Linked DNA regions of Saccharomyces cerevisiae S288C. The protein of the gene in region 2 interacts with the protein of the main gene of each other region in a biochemical or structural test. Each region holds a gene or a part of one and is shown on either strand. Other genes may lie near its edges.

Region 1 (7,132 bases), on a different chromosome or scaffold from region 2:
CGATTTGTTGTTCTGACGGGGTAGGGCTCATATCATCGGCTAAGCCCTTCGCTAATTCATCGGTAAGATTCTTACCAATTTGTGACAGCTGTTTGAACATTGAATCAGCAAATGTTTCCCTAAGTTAAAATCACCTCAAATGTAACTCCTGTTGCTTACTATTTGACGTTTCTGCTACATTTGGTTCTCTTATATTGCTGGATCTGAAAATCCGAACTATGAGAATGCGGGTAATAGCTTTTCATAGAATCACTAATTGATATTTTTTCAGGTAATAAGTTTCCTCTAATCGGGCATTTAAAATCTTGGATCGATAACTTAACTGGGTGTAATAAAATATATAAAGATATAAAATAGATATATATATATAAAACGAACTTTATCAAGAAGAACTGCAAATGAAGCGTACTCTCAAATCCTCGAAAACGAAAAACACTCCACCAGTACAGTATTATCACGAAGAATATTAAGTAAAAGCAGCCATCTTAAATAATAGAGTGTAGCAATCAAACATAAAGCTAAGGTTCTTCTTGATTAGCAAATTGTATAAACTTTTATCGAAATAACCTAGAAGGAGGTTTTTTCTTACCTAGCTTCAAAAAATTGCCATTTTTATCATCTGTAAATTCACTTAGGAATTTTGCAGTTTTTGTACCGCTAGCAGAAGAAGCATGCGTACTGCCTTTGGTGTTTCCTGATCTCGGTTCCACTTGCAGTGATAATTGATACTGCTTTTCAATGTGGGGGACATTTTCCAAAGACGCTTCTATAACGGTCTGAATATCATCCAATCGTTTCAGCTTGTAATGGAATCTTTTAAAGCTTATAATTTCCTCCACTATATTTGCGATTTTAGTCCTCTTGCTGAAGTTTATTATGTTGGTTGAATTGTGAAGAAAATCTGGGTTTCCGACAAACGTAAATGTTAAATCAGATAGGTATACACCAAAAAAGGGAACACATGCAACGTCCGTCACGGATCGCAACAGCTCTCTATACTTCACAAAATTTCTCTTGGAATCCATAAGGTTGTTTAGGTTCTTCAGAAGGTCCTTCGACTCAGTGGAAACTAAATCCCATGTCTTTTTCAGTCGGTAGATTGGGGAGGAATACAAAGCGGACACTATGGCAGTCATTGAAGAAAAATTATTCAACTCTTTACAATGCTGGGCAACGGTAACAAAATATTGCGTTAATTTTGAACGTGTCTTGACATCTGCCTGTTTTACAATGGTATGAGAAACAAAATTAGTTAGCGTATTAGCATTAGCTATAAATTTCGTAATGTTCGGAGAACCACCCATATTACAATACTTGGTACCCCATGCCCTATCCAAGCATTCAAACATAGTGATCCTGAGGTATAAGTCATGTTCAAGTACAGTCAATTGTGTGGCATATGTGTATGGGTCAATATCCAAGAGCTTCAATTTCTTCAATCTAAAAAACGCTGAAGAAGCAGAAGATGGTAAAGAAGACGAAGACATGTGTATCGGTGATTTATTGTCACGTTTAGTTGTCTGTACGACTGCCGATACCGAATCTTGTTGCTTAGGATCCACTGGTTCTTTCTCATTCTCATTTATCAGTTTTTCATTTATCTTTTGCAAAAGATCCTCTGCCCCCGGTATTTTCTCCGATACAACCATCTTGGCAAAATTTAGAATCAGTGGTATGCCAGGTTCATAATAATTTCTTGTCCAATACTGCGTCAAAAATGTTCTCATAATGTTGACCACACGGCATTTAATCGGGTTTGACTTTTTTTCTATCCAAATATTGTAATCATCGTAACTCAGCCCTTCAGGAGGATACAAGTTGTACCTGTAAATCAGGGCATAAAAAAACTCTCTTGTGGTTAATATACTTCTGAAAGTTATTAACATTGTAACATTGAAAGCCGCATCAACAAGTTCATGACTGGTTAAATGTTCAATCAGTGCCTCTTTTGTCCCGCCACGAATTTTTCCTCTTGAGTCATAGACAAGACTAGTTTCATAATCTGAAGTTAAAAACCATGGAAGGTTTTTCTCTATGTTCGCAGCTTTGCGTTCAATATAGTCCTCAGATCCTAATTCGTCATCGATGATAGCTTCATCATTTTCTGAATCGTCATCACTATAGTCCTCGGAATAAATATCAAACCATTTTTCTTGCTCACCTTTCAATAGTTCTGCAGTCAAATTATTCTTCATCATTCTTGCTGCGTAGTTCAGCAAATTTTCTCTTTCTTCAATCAATTGATCAACAATAATACACGCAAGATTAGAAATCTCGACATACTTTTCACAAGCATCTTTAAAATCGTCGGAGTTGTTTAAAAATTCAAGGTTATTGAACTCCACATCTTGACTCACCAATACGTGAAATAAGGAGAGTGCCAATTGTTCATTTTTTTTATGGAAGGGGCCCTTGACCAAAGGTGTATTAGAGATATTCTTGAAAGGTTCATGATGTCCGACAGGGAAATTGGACCTCATTGAGGAAAACAAATACGGGTCGTCTAAGGTCGTTTGTTGCGTTGTCATTATTAATCTGATGACGATGTCATGAAAAGCCTGCTTTATATCAAAAAACTCTGTTAGTACTGAGGAGACCGAAGACATGGCGTGAACTAAAAATTCCTCGCTTTCCAAATCCAACAAAATACTGGGTGTCTTAATCAGGTTTTTCAAATTGATGAAAATTGACAGATCTAAATTCTCCAGTATCTCCAATAGTAAAACATTCTGATTTATTTGTTCGTATGTGCTTGAATTTATTTCCAAATTCCTAATTCTGCTTTTGGGTTTACTTATAATTTTTAAGTGTTCACCTGTAGCATTATTTAATTTTTCAAAAATTTGCGAGGATTTCTTCTTCATTGTATTCAAAGTGTCTACAGTTAATGGATATTTTTTCTTCCTTTTTGAAACTCTTGCTCTTGAAAAGGTTCTGTTATGAGAAGGACGGTTGAAAGGTGTAAAAACTGAACCAGACGCGGCACTGCTTGCTTTTAAATCAATTTGGGAATTTGTTTCTGAATTAGCGCTATATCCTGACGCAGAGGCAATAGCATCTGCCATCTTTGGTGGAATCCTTGATATTGAGGAATTTTTGGACGACGAAGCGGTCACTTCATTAGATGTGACAGCTTTGTTCTTTGTCGCATTACCAAATTCATCCGTAATAAAAGTCGAAAATGGATTTGTCCAAGAACCACCGCTAAATGAACCTTTAAAAAATCTTGGGAGCAACTGTGGTAAAGTATTATCATCTGAGAAGACTGAGCTCTGTAACACAAAATAAAGTAACTGAACATGCCTTAAAAATTTCGAGAATTCCACATCAACCATTTCGTAAATCGATTTAGCTGACTTAAAATTTTTGTTGGACGGTGAAAAATCTTCCAAAGTAGAATTTTGTATTGAAGTCCTTGGTGTTACGACAGAATTAACACTATTTCTTGGACCTAAGACTGAGAAATTTTCCATATCGTTCTCATTGACTGTACTGAATGATGATCTCATTGGAGTCAATGTATCCGTTGTACTGGTACTTACATTACGTTTACCGGACAATGGAACTGAAACTAGATCATGTACACTATCTACTTCAATTTTACCATCATCCCCTTCCGTCCTAGAACAATTATTTTCCTGATTATCGTTATCCTTGTCATTCATAGTATCCATTTTTTTTCTGTGAAAAGCTGAATCGAAATATAAATGAGAATTGATACTTATCCTTGACAATGAAGAGATTAGACCTTTGAAAATCTTCTTAATCTCCTTGCTGCAACTTTTGGCTTTAATTTCATGTTGCATTAGCCTGCAGCCTAACTGTGTGAAGACTATTGAATCTGATATCAAATCAAAGTATTTCGTGAAATTGAGACGATTCTCTTTAAGGAACATCTTGTGAGCCGTTTTAGTATAATAAACTGTTAGGTCTTGTAATTCTGTCCACAATTTTATATCTCTTGAATAGTGATAAAAGATGTCACTCTTGGCCAGTATAGAAGAGCGACTTGGGGCAACTACCCTTGATTGAATATTCTGCGTTAAATCTGGAGCAGATAAAGAATTTAATGATGAAGGACCAGCCTCATTGAATTCGTTTTTGTTATTTTCGTTATTATTATCATCATCATTAATACTGTTATTATTTCCATCAGTTTCTTTTGAATCCTGTTTTTCCATTAGAAGGCTTGATCTATTTTGTTCACTTTCCGATTGCTTCGATCTCGTAGAACTGTCCTCAATATTCGCATTTTTCCTCAGATCTCTAGTATATAGGTTAACAAGATGATCATTGGGCGGGAATTTTGGTTCGCTGTCACAAATGTCATCGGATTCCATAATTGAGTTAGAAATCAAGGGTAATTCTGAACAGTATATATCAAGGTCTTTGTTATAGTATACCAACTTGTAATCGGATGTTTTCGTTATCAGTGGTATGGGGGACCAAGTCGAAGCAATGTTCGAACGTATACCATTAATAATCATTTCTATCTCTTCCAACGGTAATATCTTAATTGTTTCTTCTGCTACTAGTGGGGGACCTGCTTTCTCACCAGAAGTTTGTAAATTTGTTTCATTGTTATTCATAATTGCGTTTGTATTCATCTCAGATGAGCCATCTGCACTCTTTGTCATATCCTGGGATAGACTAGCATTGGAATTAAAGTTCGAAGATTGAGGGGTTATGTGGGAAGCATCGTTTGGCGCTGAAAAGGGAGAATTATTCATCGATACGGTGTTATTGTGGCCGGAACTTGTTTCTGCATTGTGGGCATTTGATAAAGACGCTGATAAAGTAGAACTCCCCCTCCTGCTCTTGCTCGGATTTCTAGGCACATGTAAATATGCACTATTGCCCAAGCTATTTAAGCTGCTGCGCCTTGAGCTCTTACTGGAACTATATTTTTTCATCGGATGACTGTGCTTTCTGAGATGACTGTCTCTTAAAGGTCTACCGAAGTTTTGAGGAAACCAGCCTCTGTTAACTTTCCCATTACTGTCGTCAATAACTAATCCATCCCACCACCCAGATGAGTTTTTGTTAAGTATATAAATGGTTTCCCCTTGTTGTACAGACAAAAGTTGCGAAGAACTGTCTTTTTTAATGGGATAATTAAAGTCATAAGCAGCGACTACTATTCCAATTGGACGAATGCTGGTCAACTCACTTGTCGAGGGGGAAGAAGAAAGAGAAGCTGAGGATGATTCTGTGTTAGTGGTAGTGGAAGTGTTAGATGAAGAGCTGATCGATGGAGTTTGTGAAGCATTGCCTGCCTCCCTTGCAGAACTTGTATTGGGAATAGACGTGTTAGTATCGGACATGATACAACTATCCAATATCCACCTTGCTTTTTCGTTTTATTTTTTAGTATTTATTCGAAGAAAAATGTGGCTCTTTTTATTCAATTTCTTTCCGAAAAAGAAACAGTCTATCTAACTAAAGGAATTGCTTCACGGTGATCAAGTCACTATAACTGTCTCCGCCGTGTTGGTGATGCAGTTTTCTCTGTAACTTTTGAGCTTATTTTTCTATTTTATTTTTTCCTCCAGGTCTCTGTCAAAGATCCGTCTCCCGCGATGTTTAAAAGTCGTTTTAGCGAATTACATAATAACCTGGAGGTGACTGACGTCGACTATTTTCTGCCCCATAAAGCAACAAAATATTTAACTCATAAAAGCTTCGAAGAATATGTAAATATAGTAGTATGAATCTAACTGAGTAAAAAAAGGGAATAACAAAACAAAAAAAAAGGAAAAGAGATGGATAGCATACGTTATGAAAGTAATAAAACCTTAGAGATAGAGATAGAGAGAGAGAGAGAGAGAGATGCACCTTTTCTATTCTCAATAAAAAAAGGAAAGTAAGTGTAAAAAAATTTAAAGGAGGGATATATGACACTCCTACTAAGCAGTCGTTTTTTTTTTCTTTTGTTAATTTCATTCTTCATGCTGGGTTTTGGATGATCTAGTGTTTGCACTTAAAATAATTTTTTTTCCTGCATTCTGACATCGCTTTATACATCCTCGAATGCTGTAATTTCAATCCGAACCGTTTCAGCTGCTTTACAAACCAGTTGGTATCTTTGCGAACCTTAAACTGAAAAACTCGGAATGGTTTCATTGACTTGAAACGAAGCTTGCGCAACTGCAATCTGGATCCCGACCAACATTGTTTTGCTTTTTGGCAAGAATGATCGAAATACCTTTTAATATGTGGAGAAAATTGCCTGTATTTATTATGAAGTAGCACAAAGAGCCTTTTCCAGCGGCGTTTCTGTTCTTTATGCAATACCCTTAAACTTTCTTGAGCGGATTTAAAAGAATTCTTGAGAAATAGGTGTAACTTTATTCTTCCTCCGTTTATTTTGTTAATTCTCTTGTGCCAACCGTCTTTCATTCGAGCTTTTGTTGTATACCATAAAATAACTAAGTCTGTTTTGTATCGTCTCCAGCCCATTAGGTCATCATCCTTTAATGGGTATGCAATATGATTGTCGAAGTCGACGTAGTATTTTCCTGAAGGAGCCCACTGACTTAAAGAGTCACTTGATGAATCGTAAGATTTTTTATCAACAAAATCGATATTGCCGTACAACAGCTTCCTTTCATTATTACGTAATGACTGTTGTGATTTAAAACCTGCCAACACATCACCAGTCAGGGAATATTCGAGGGCGAGGTATGAAAAGGTCATGGAAAGCAATGAAGATAGCATGATAACATGCCACATCTTCAATTTAGCAGATTTACCCTCACTTTTATCTATGATATGATCCGATAGTGTGCTAGAATTCCTTATCGTACTATCCTTCAGTTTCGACCCCTCCATACTTGGCAATACCGTTCCGCCAACATTTGAGCCGGACAAAGTATCAAATGACTCTGAAATAGTGGGAACTCCAGTTTGATCAATATTAACTCCAGCATTACTAAATTCATTAGATGTTCTAAAATCGTAAATACGATTCATCTGTGCAGACTCTTCACTGCTAGTGTTCGATAGGACATCTGCATCGAAGTCCTCGTCGTCCTCTCCTGCAAAGGAGCTTTCATGCAAACTATCCAAAGATATTTCTGACTTCGATGACTGTTCTTCCCCTTCTCTCCCTTTACGTAATCTACGTAATCTA
Region 2 (3,196 bases):
GAAATTCAAAGGTGGAACGATACGTTCTTGTGGGGCATGTGATACCAAGACCTTTTCGCGACCAGATTCTGTTTCTTCATTGATATATATATGATCATCATCGTCGTCTTCTTCCTCGTCTTCGTCTTCTACTTCTTCTTCAGGTACGGATACGTTCTCTTCTGTGAGGCGGGACTCATCCTCTGGAACGTCCTCATATTCACCAACTTTAGATGTCATTCTAAGGGGAAAGAGAAGCTTGTTATTCCAGGTGGAACACCTCTTTCTTGTGAAAATGGATGTGATTGATGACTCTCTGCAATGTCCAATTTTATGTTATAGCGATGTTGTTTGTTTTTTCCTTTACCCGGCAACCATATGATATTGCCCAAAGTTTCCAATGTTAACAAGAATGAAACGGAAATAGCAAATGGCAATAAGCAATATAAAAACAGTCACTTTTTTATTTACTTTTGTATATATTTATAAATGTGTGTACTCGTTTCAACTTTATAGAGTTCTTTTCGTCTTAGCGTTTCTACAACTATTTCCTTTTTATTAACTTATAATACAACAGCCACCCGATCCGCTCTTGGAGGCTTCACTGGTGTTACCGCCGGGTGCAGCTTGCTGCTTCCTAGCCTGTTTAGCATTTGAAACTTGACCGGCCTTACTATTATTATTTACACGATTATTAACCGTATTAGCGCTTTGAGCGTTGGCCTGACCAGCTTGGCCCGTGGAATTGTCTATATTGGTGCGATCAGTTTGTGTCTTACCATTTGTCGCCTGGTTGCCTGCCAACCCTGTCTTACTCTCTATGCTTGCATTCCTGGCATTCACGACAGTTGTGCTACTGTTCACATTTTTACCGTTGGCAGCATTGCTCATCTTCCTGTGGCCACCGCTATTTCTAGGCACAGAGTTGGCACCGCTCCCTTTTGTATCTTGAGAAGTTTGCTTGGAGTTGTCATTTTCCGTCAAAGTCTTGTTGTACTTGCCGCCTTCGTCTCTAACTAAACGTGCTAGAGTGTAAAACGCCTCTTCCACGTTGATTGCTTGCTTAGCAGATGTCTCCAAGAAAGGAGCGTTCATTTGCTTTGCCATGTTCAACCCGTCCTGGTAAGAGACCTGTTTTTCGTTTTCTAAATCAGATTTGTTACCAACAACCACAATTGGAACATAGTCGGTATCTTTGACTCTCAATATCTGTTGATAGTAAGTCATAAGCTCATCAAGAGACGACTTGGACGTTATAGAGTAAACCAATAGGAATCCTTCGCCGTTGCGCATGTATTGTTCCCTCATAGCAGAGTATTCTTCCTGCCCTGCAGTATCCAAAATGTCCAATATAGACACTTCATCATCAATCACCACTTGCTTCCTGTATGAATCCTCAATTGTGGGATCGTATTCATCTACAAAGTGCGATTGGGTCAATTGTATGGTCAAAGCAGATTTACCAACACCACCACCACCAACGACGACTAGCTTGTACTCTCTTATGTTCGACTTGTTCAAAGGCATTTTTTTTTCTGTATATCTCCTTTCAATTCGAAAACGGTTAACTTGGTTTTTTTATCCGTAATTCTCTCGTATCTTTCTGCTCAAGTAATTTTCTCCTAGTTGATTAATATAGTGCAGAAGAGTCAGATAAAGAGTGGATGAATAAAATGGAAAAAAAACAAAAGCCGGATTGCGTTACGCTTGAAATGAGCGATTCTAGGCGATAAGAGAAGACAACGGCTAAAACTTAAGATGTTGGGGTACTATAAATGTTTACCCAGATTTTCGGTAGAAATGTTTGCTGATGTGAACCTTGTTTCCCGTTTTCCCAGATCCCCTTATTCCAGCTTTGTTTCGTCTTTGCTGTCATGTTCCGTTTAATTTCTGAAGGCCTGCCTAGCTTCACCGTCCTAAATGTCACGCTCCAGGCAGAGACATGGCGCAGGGGCGAGGCCAGGGGCAAAGGGGTCAGGCAGGAACCTCCAAGGGGGGCGAGGTGAATGAAAAGGTCCTTCTGAATAAAAAGCCTAAGCGATTAGCCACACCACCCACTGTACGGCGATTAGACTGAGCTGCTGGCGCTGCTACGCCGTGACAAGTCATTTCATCATTTATTACGTTTTATCGTGCCGTCATCACCATCGATTTGAATATTTTATCTAGACCGGTAGGGCCCAAGTATCTTGCAGATCCATTGATACGGCCACGCCCGTTAAAACGCTAAGATATATATATATGTAGCTAAGATATATATATATGTATATATTCGGTATTTAGTAGATATTTCCTTAAGGCGATATTCGCCCGAGAGCTATTTCACAGTTTTTTTTTGCAGTCGTCGCAATACCACTTGCCCTTAGGTAGAGTTTCGAGTCCAATACATGGCAAATGGAACCATTCTAGCTCACAGTCTGCGCCATCACACCCCACCATTTCCCCGTATGCCACTTGGTTACAGTAGCAGTAGAGCGGTTCGCCGTAGTCGTTGGTTTTTGGTCTTGATATCCTGCTGTTGTTGCTGTTTCCGACGCTGCTAACTCCCCTGGACGCTGTAGATGTACCTATCCTGCCATTATTGACGGCAGTTGCCGTGCTGATAGTGCTTGGTGAAACGGCTGTGGTGGCAACTCTCCTCTTGCGTTTTTTGGTCTCTGGATCGGCGTTGTTGGTATTGGCAGCGTTGGCTCTTTTTCTTGAGTTTGTGTTGTTACCAGTGTGGTCTTGGCTCTCGTGCCTGCTGCCTCCGTAGTTTGCGTCGTTCTTTGAGTCGTCTTGTTGGTGTGTGCTGGCGGAGTAATGTTCGCCCTGCCTCCTGTTGGCAGCCATGGCTTCTCTTCTTGATTCGCTCTTCAGTGCCTGCGACGATTTGCTGTTTGATTTGCTCTCTATTTTTTCCATTAGTTCATGATGGAGGTGCATTGCTGGATGGTTGTCCACACCCAGTCTTAAACCTCTAGGAATTTCTGTGTTCTTGATTGCGACTTCATACGCCAATTCTAACCGGGACGTCAATCTGTCTAGATTATCCAGCATAATGGATGAGACATGCATTTTCTCCTCCAGCGATGGCATCAGTTCTTCATAAATCTTGTTGATATTATTGAGCAGTCTTACTTGTGTTTGGTGATCTTTATTGAAGTCTTTCTTCAAGAACTTATCTATCCTCTCGTTCAAATTCGGCATAGAATGCACACATTTTGCATCTATTTCG
Region 3 (3,473 bases), on a different chromosome or scaffold from region 2:
TAAGCGTGGTAGACCAAGAAGTCAGTAATGAACACTTATGGAACTGCTTTTTTCACGGTAGTGATTAGAGAAGTATGACTTTTAAACCAGACACTAATATATTAAAATATTTAATCTTTTGAATTTTTATATAAACGGTTGCCGTAATTACTATATATATATTCAATGGTAGGAAAAAAAGATGCTGCACGTTGTCTGACATCTGAAGAAGAGTGCTAATATGTAGCTTCAAAATTTTCGGAAGGCAAAAATAATGGTTGCTAAGAGATTCGAACTCTTGCATCTTACGATACCTGAGTATTCCTACAGTTAACTGCAGTCAAGATATTTTCTTGAATCAGGCGCCTTAGACCGCTCGGCCAAACAACCACTTATTTGTTGTAAAAGTTATACGAAAAGAACCTTTTAATGAATGTTTTTTTTAACATTCTAGCCAATTTCCAACGTTTATTTGCGTATACTCAACCTATACTATGGCGGAATTCACTCCTTTCAGTAACCTTTTTATATTTTACGTACTACTGTGTCGCTGAGTTCTTTATATCTATACTTCCTTATATTTTCTGTATTTTTTCAAAGCTGTGTGCTGGCGATAAATCCATAAATCTCCAATCTCCAGCTTCATGTGGCTTTCTGGCACTTACAAAGCTTGGGCCCCTTGGTTCTAACATCAAGTGACCCATATTTTTCAAAAAGGACCCCTTATTATATATGTTTTCCTCCTTGACCACACGATGGAATACAGGGTTTTTTTTCGATCCAATACCTTTCAAAAATTCCCTTGTTGTTTGCTGATTACCTGCCATAAATATGTGATAAGTAAACAGTATTGCCGGATACCATAAGGTTAGCCCTGCATAGCAAAGTAACAATATTGCAACGGGACAATCGCGAGGCCCCCCTGATTCCCGTGCAATATGGATGGCACAATTAGTTAATAATATGACGGACGAAAGTATTGCACCTAACAGGAATATTAAAAAGAACCGGTAGTTCCTTTTTCCTATGCAATTATTGACCCATATGCAATGGTGGTCATGAACCATTACGCAGACGTTACATGTGGAACAGTGAGAAGACCGAGGTGGTCTCCATATCCTACATGATGGACAATACTTGATAGTAATGTCTTTTGAAATTGAAGAATGTGTTGGTAGTGTTATCAAGTTGTAATATTCTTGCGGGATCTGATAATTATTTCTTAGTTGACTTAAATGAATATTTCTCGGAAGAACGCCAGGATCACTAGTGGCTGTTCTGATAAAGGATGCTAGCGTTATGACCCAAAAATAATAGAAGAAAATGACCAGCACTTTATAACCATTTTGGGTATGCCACAATTTGTGAGCCTCAAATATGGAGAAGAGAACCATGGGACATACAATAGCAAGGAGAACACCTAACCACAACGGTTTGGCGCCCTTTACTGTCCTGAACCTGCCACCAAGGAAGAATATATAATTCGAGACATTCGGTAACGATATATAACCTTTTCCATCGTTTATATCCTGATCACCCTCCAAGGTAACAAGCCATCGGAAGAACAACTTCGTCAATGAACCTTCTCCTGTATGCTCTTCCTTTGTTATTGAGGTGCTTTCCGATCTTGTCGACCTTCTAGAGACCAAGGCCATTATCTTCCCCGTTTCTCTTCTTGTTACCTTACGCTTTCTTTCCTTTACATTTTTATATTTGCAAACTGTAATCTTGATAAGGCGCTGCTCGCCAATTTCCGAGTAGTTTGACAAAATAAACACAAACTGTTTATGTACAAGAAACTAGGAAAACCAAACAGAGAATCTCAAGCAGAGAAATAAGGTAATGAAAGTAGGTGGCATAGAAGACAGACAACTGGAAGCCTTAAAAAGGGCGGCACTGAAGGCGTGTGAACTCTCCTATAGCCCCTATTCTCACTTCCGTGTCGGTTGTTCCATATTAACAAATAACGATGTTATCTTCACTGGTGCTAATGTCGAGAATGCAAGCTACAGTAATTGTATATGTGCAGAACGATCTGCTATGATACAAGTTCTAATGGCAGGCCATCGCTCAGGATGGAAATGCATGGTCATTTGTGGCGATTCTGAGGACCAGTGTGTTTCCCCTTGCGGCGTTTGCAGGCAGTTTATCAATGAATTTGTGGTCAAGGACTTTCCAATAGTCATGCTTAATTCCACAGGTTCTCGTTCTAAAGTCATGACAATGGGAGAACTGCTGCCCATGGCTTTTGGTCCATCTCATTTAAACTAGCAGCAATCTTTATTTGGCTGCTCCCCGAAAAGAAAGCGAAAATTTTTTACTTATTTTTTTTTTTTTTCATTTTTCATATAAAGAAGAAAAACTGATATTATTATTATTCATCCCAAGAACGCTATTGTGTATATTCCTAGCAAGAAAAAAATAAGCAAAAAAATTGTATAATGAGCACTGCAACTACAACAGTTACTACCTCCGATCAGGCTTCTCATCCTACCAAGATATATTGCTCCGGTTTGCAATGTGGTAGAGAAACTTCGTCCCAAATGAAATGCCCTGTTTGTCTAAAACAAGGCATCGTTTCCATTTTCTGCGACACAAGCTGTTATGAAAACAACTACAAAGCTCACAAAGCTTTGCACAATGCTAAGGACGGCTTGGAAGGTGCTTATGATCCTTTCCCAAAATTCAAATATTCTGGTAAAGTGAAGGCTTCATATCCACTTACCCCAAGAAGGTATGTCCCTGAAGATATTCCTAAACCGGACTGGGCCGCTAATGGGCTACCAGTCAGTGAACAAAGAAATGATAGACTTAACAACATCCCTATATACAAGAAAGATCAAATTAAGAAGATTAGAAAGGCATGTATGTTGGGTAGAGAAGTTCTTGATATTGCCGCTGCCCATGTCAGACCAGGCATCACTACAGATGAATTAGATGAAATCGTCCACAATGAAACAATTAAGAGAGGTGCCTACCCTTCCCCTCTTAATTATTACAACTTTCCTAAATCGCTTTGTACCTCTGTCAATGAAGTTATTTGTCACGGTGTGCCCGATAAAACTGTCTTGAAGGAAGGTGATATTGTCAATTTAGATGTTTCCTTATACTACCAAGGTTATCATGCAGACTTGAATGAGACATATTATGTCGGCGAAAACATTTCTAAGGAAGCTCTTAATACTACTGAGACCTCAAGAGAATGTTTGAAACTAGCCATTAAAATGTGTAAGCCAGGTACCACCTTCCAAGAGTTAGGTGATCATATTGAAAAACACGCTACCGAAAATAAGTGCAGTGTAGTAAGAACTTATTGTGGACATGGTGTTGGTGAATTTTTCCATTGTTCCCCAAATATTCCCCACTACGCCAAGAATAGAACACCTGGTGTTATGAAACCAGGTATGGTTTTCACCATCGAACCTATGATTAATGAAGGTACTTGGAAGGATATGACCTGGCCTGATGACTGGACTTCTACCACCCAAGACGGT

The links. The genes of interacting proteins can lie anywhere in the genome.
Region 1: the proteins of RAS2 (region 2) and CDC25 form a complex in vitro, tested with the Saccharomyces cerevisiae proteins (6 studies listed by BioGRID, with this or other methods).
Region 3: of the proteins of RAS2 (region 2) and ERF2, one has a biochemical effect on the other in vitro, tested with the Saccharomyces cerevisiae proteins (2 studies listed by BioGRID).

The regions. Positions count from the first base shown.
Region 1 is NC_001144.5:751,670-758,801, forward strand, and holds CDC25 (Ras family guanine nucleotide exchange factor CDC25), read right to left. Parts: upstream 5,325-7,132; coding exon 555-5,324; downstream 1-554. Other genes in the region: IMH1 (Imh1p), read right to left, coding at 1-100; ATG39 (Atg39p), read right to left, coding at 5,968-7,132. UniProt on the Saccharomyces cerevisiae protein: Promotes the exchange of Ras-bound GDP by GTP. This protein positively controls the level of cellular cAMP at start, the stage at which the yeast cell division cycle is triggered.
Region 2 is NC_001146.8:439,065-442,260, forward strand, and holds RAS2 (Ras family GTPase RAS2), read right to left. Parts: upstream 1,507-3,196; coding exon 538-1,506; downstream 1-537. Other genes in the region: putative tyrosine protein phosphatase OCA1, read right to left, coding at 1-219; PLS1 (Pls1p), read right to left, coding at 1,733-1,855; PHO23 (Pho23p), read right to left, coding at 2,302-3,196. UniProt on the Saccharomyces cerevisiae protein: The S.cerevisiae Ras proteins modulate the activity of the adenylate cyclase catalytic subunit and therefore affect the biosynthesis of cyclic-AMP.
Region 3 is NC_001144.5:625,279-628,751, reverse strand, and holds ERF2 (palmitoyltransferase ERF2), read right to left. Parts: upstream 1,635-3,473; coding exon 555-1,634; downstream 1-554. Other genes in the region: E3 ubiquitin-protein ligase IRC20, read left to right, coding at 1-68; CDD1 (cytidine deaminase), read left to right, coding at 1,822-2,250; methionine aminopeptidase MAP1, read left to right, coding at 2,421-3,473. UniProt on the Saccharomyces cerevisiae protein: The ERF2-SHR5 complex is a palmitoyltransferase specific for Ras proteins. Palmitoylates RAS2, which is required for its proper plasma membrane localization.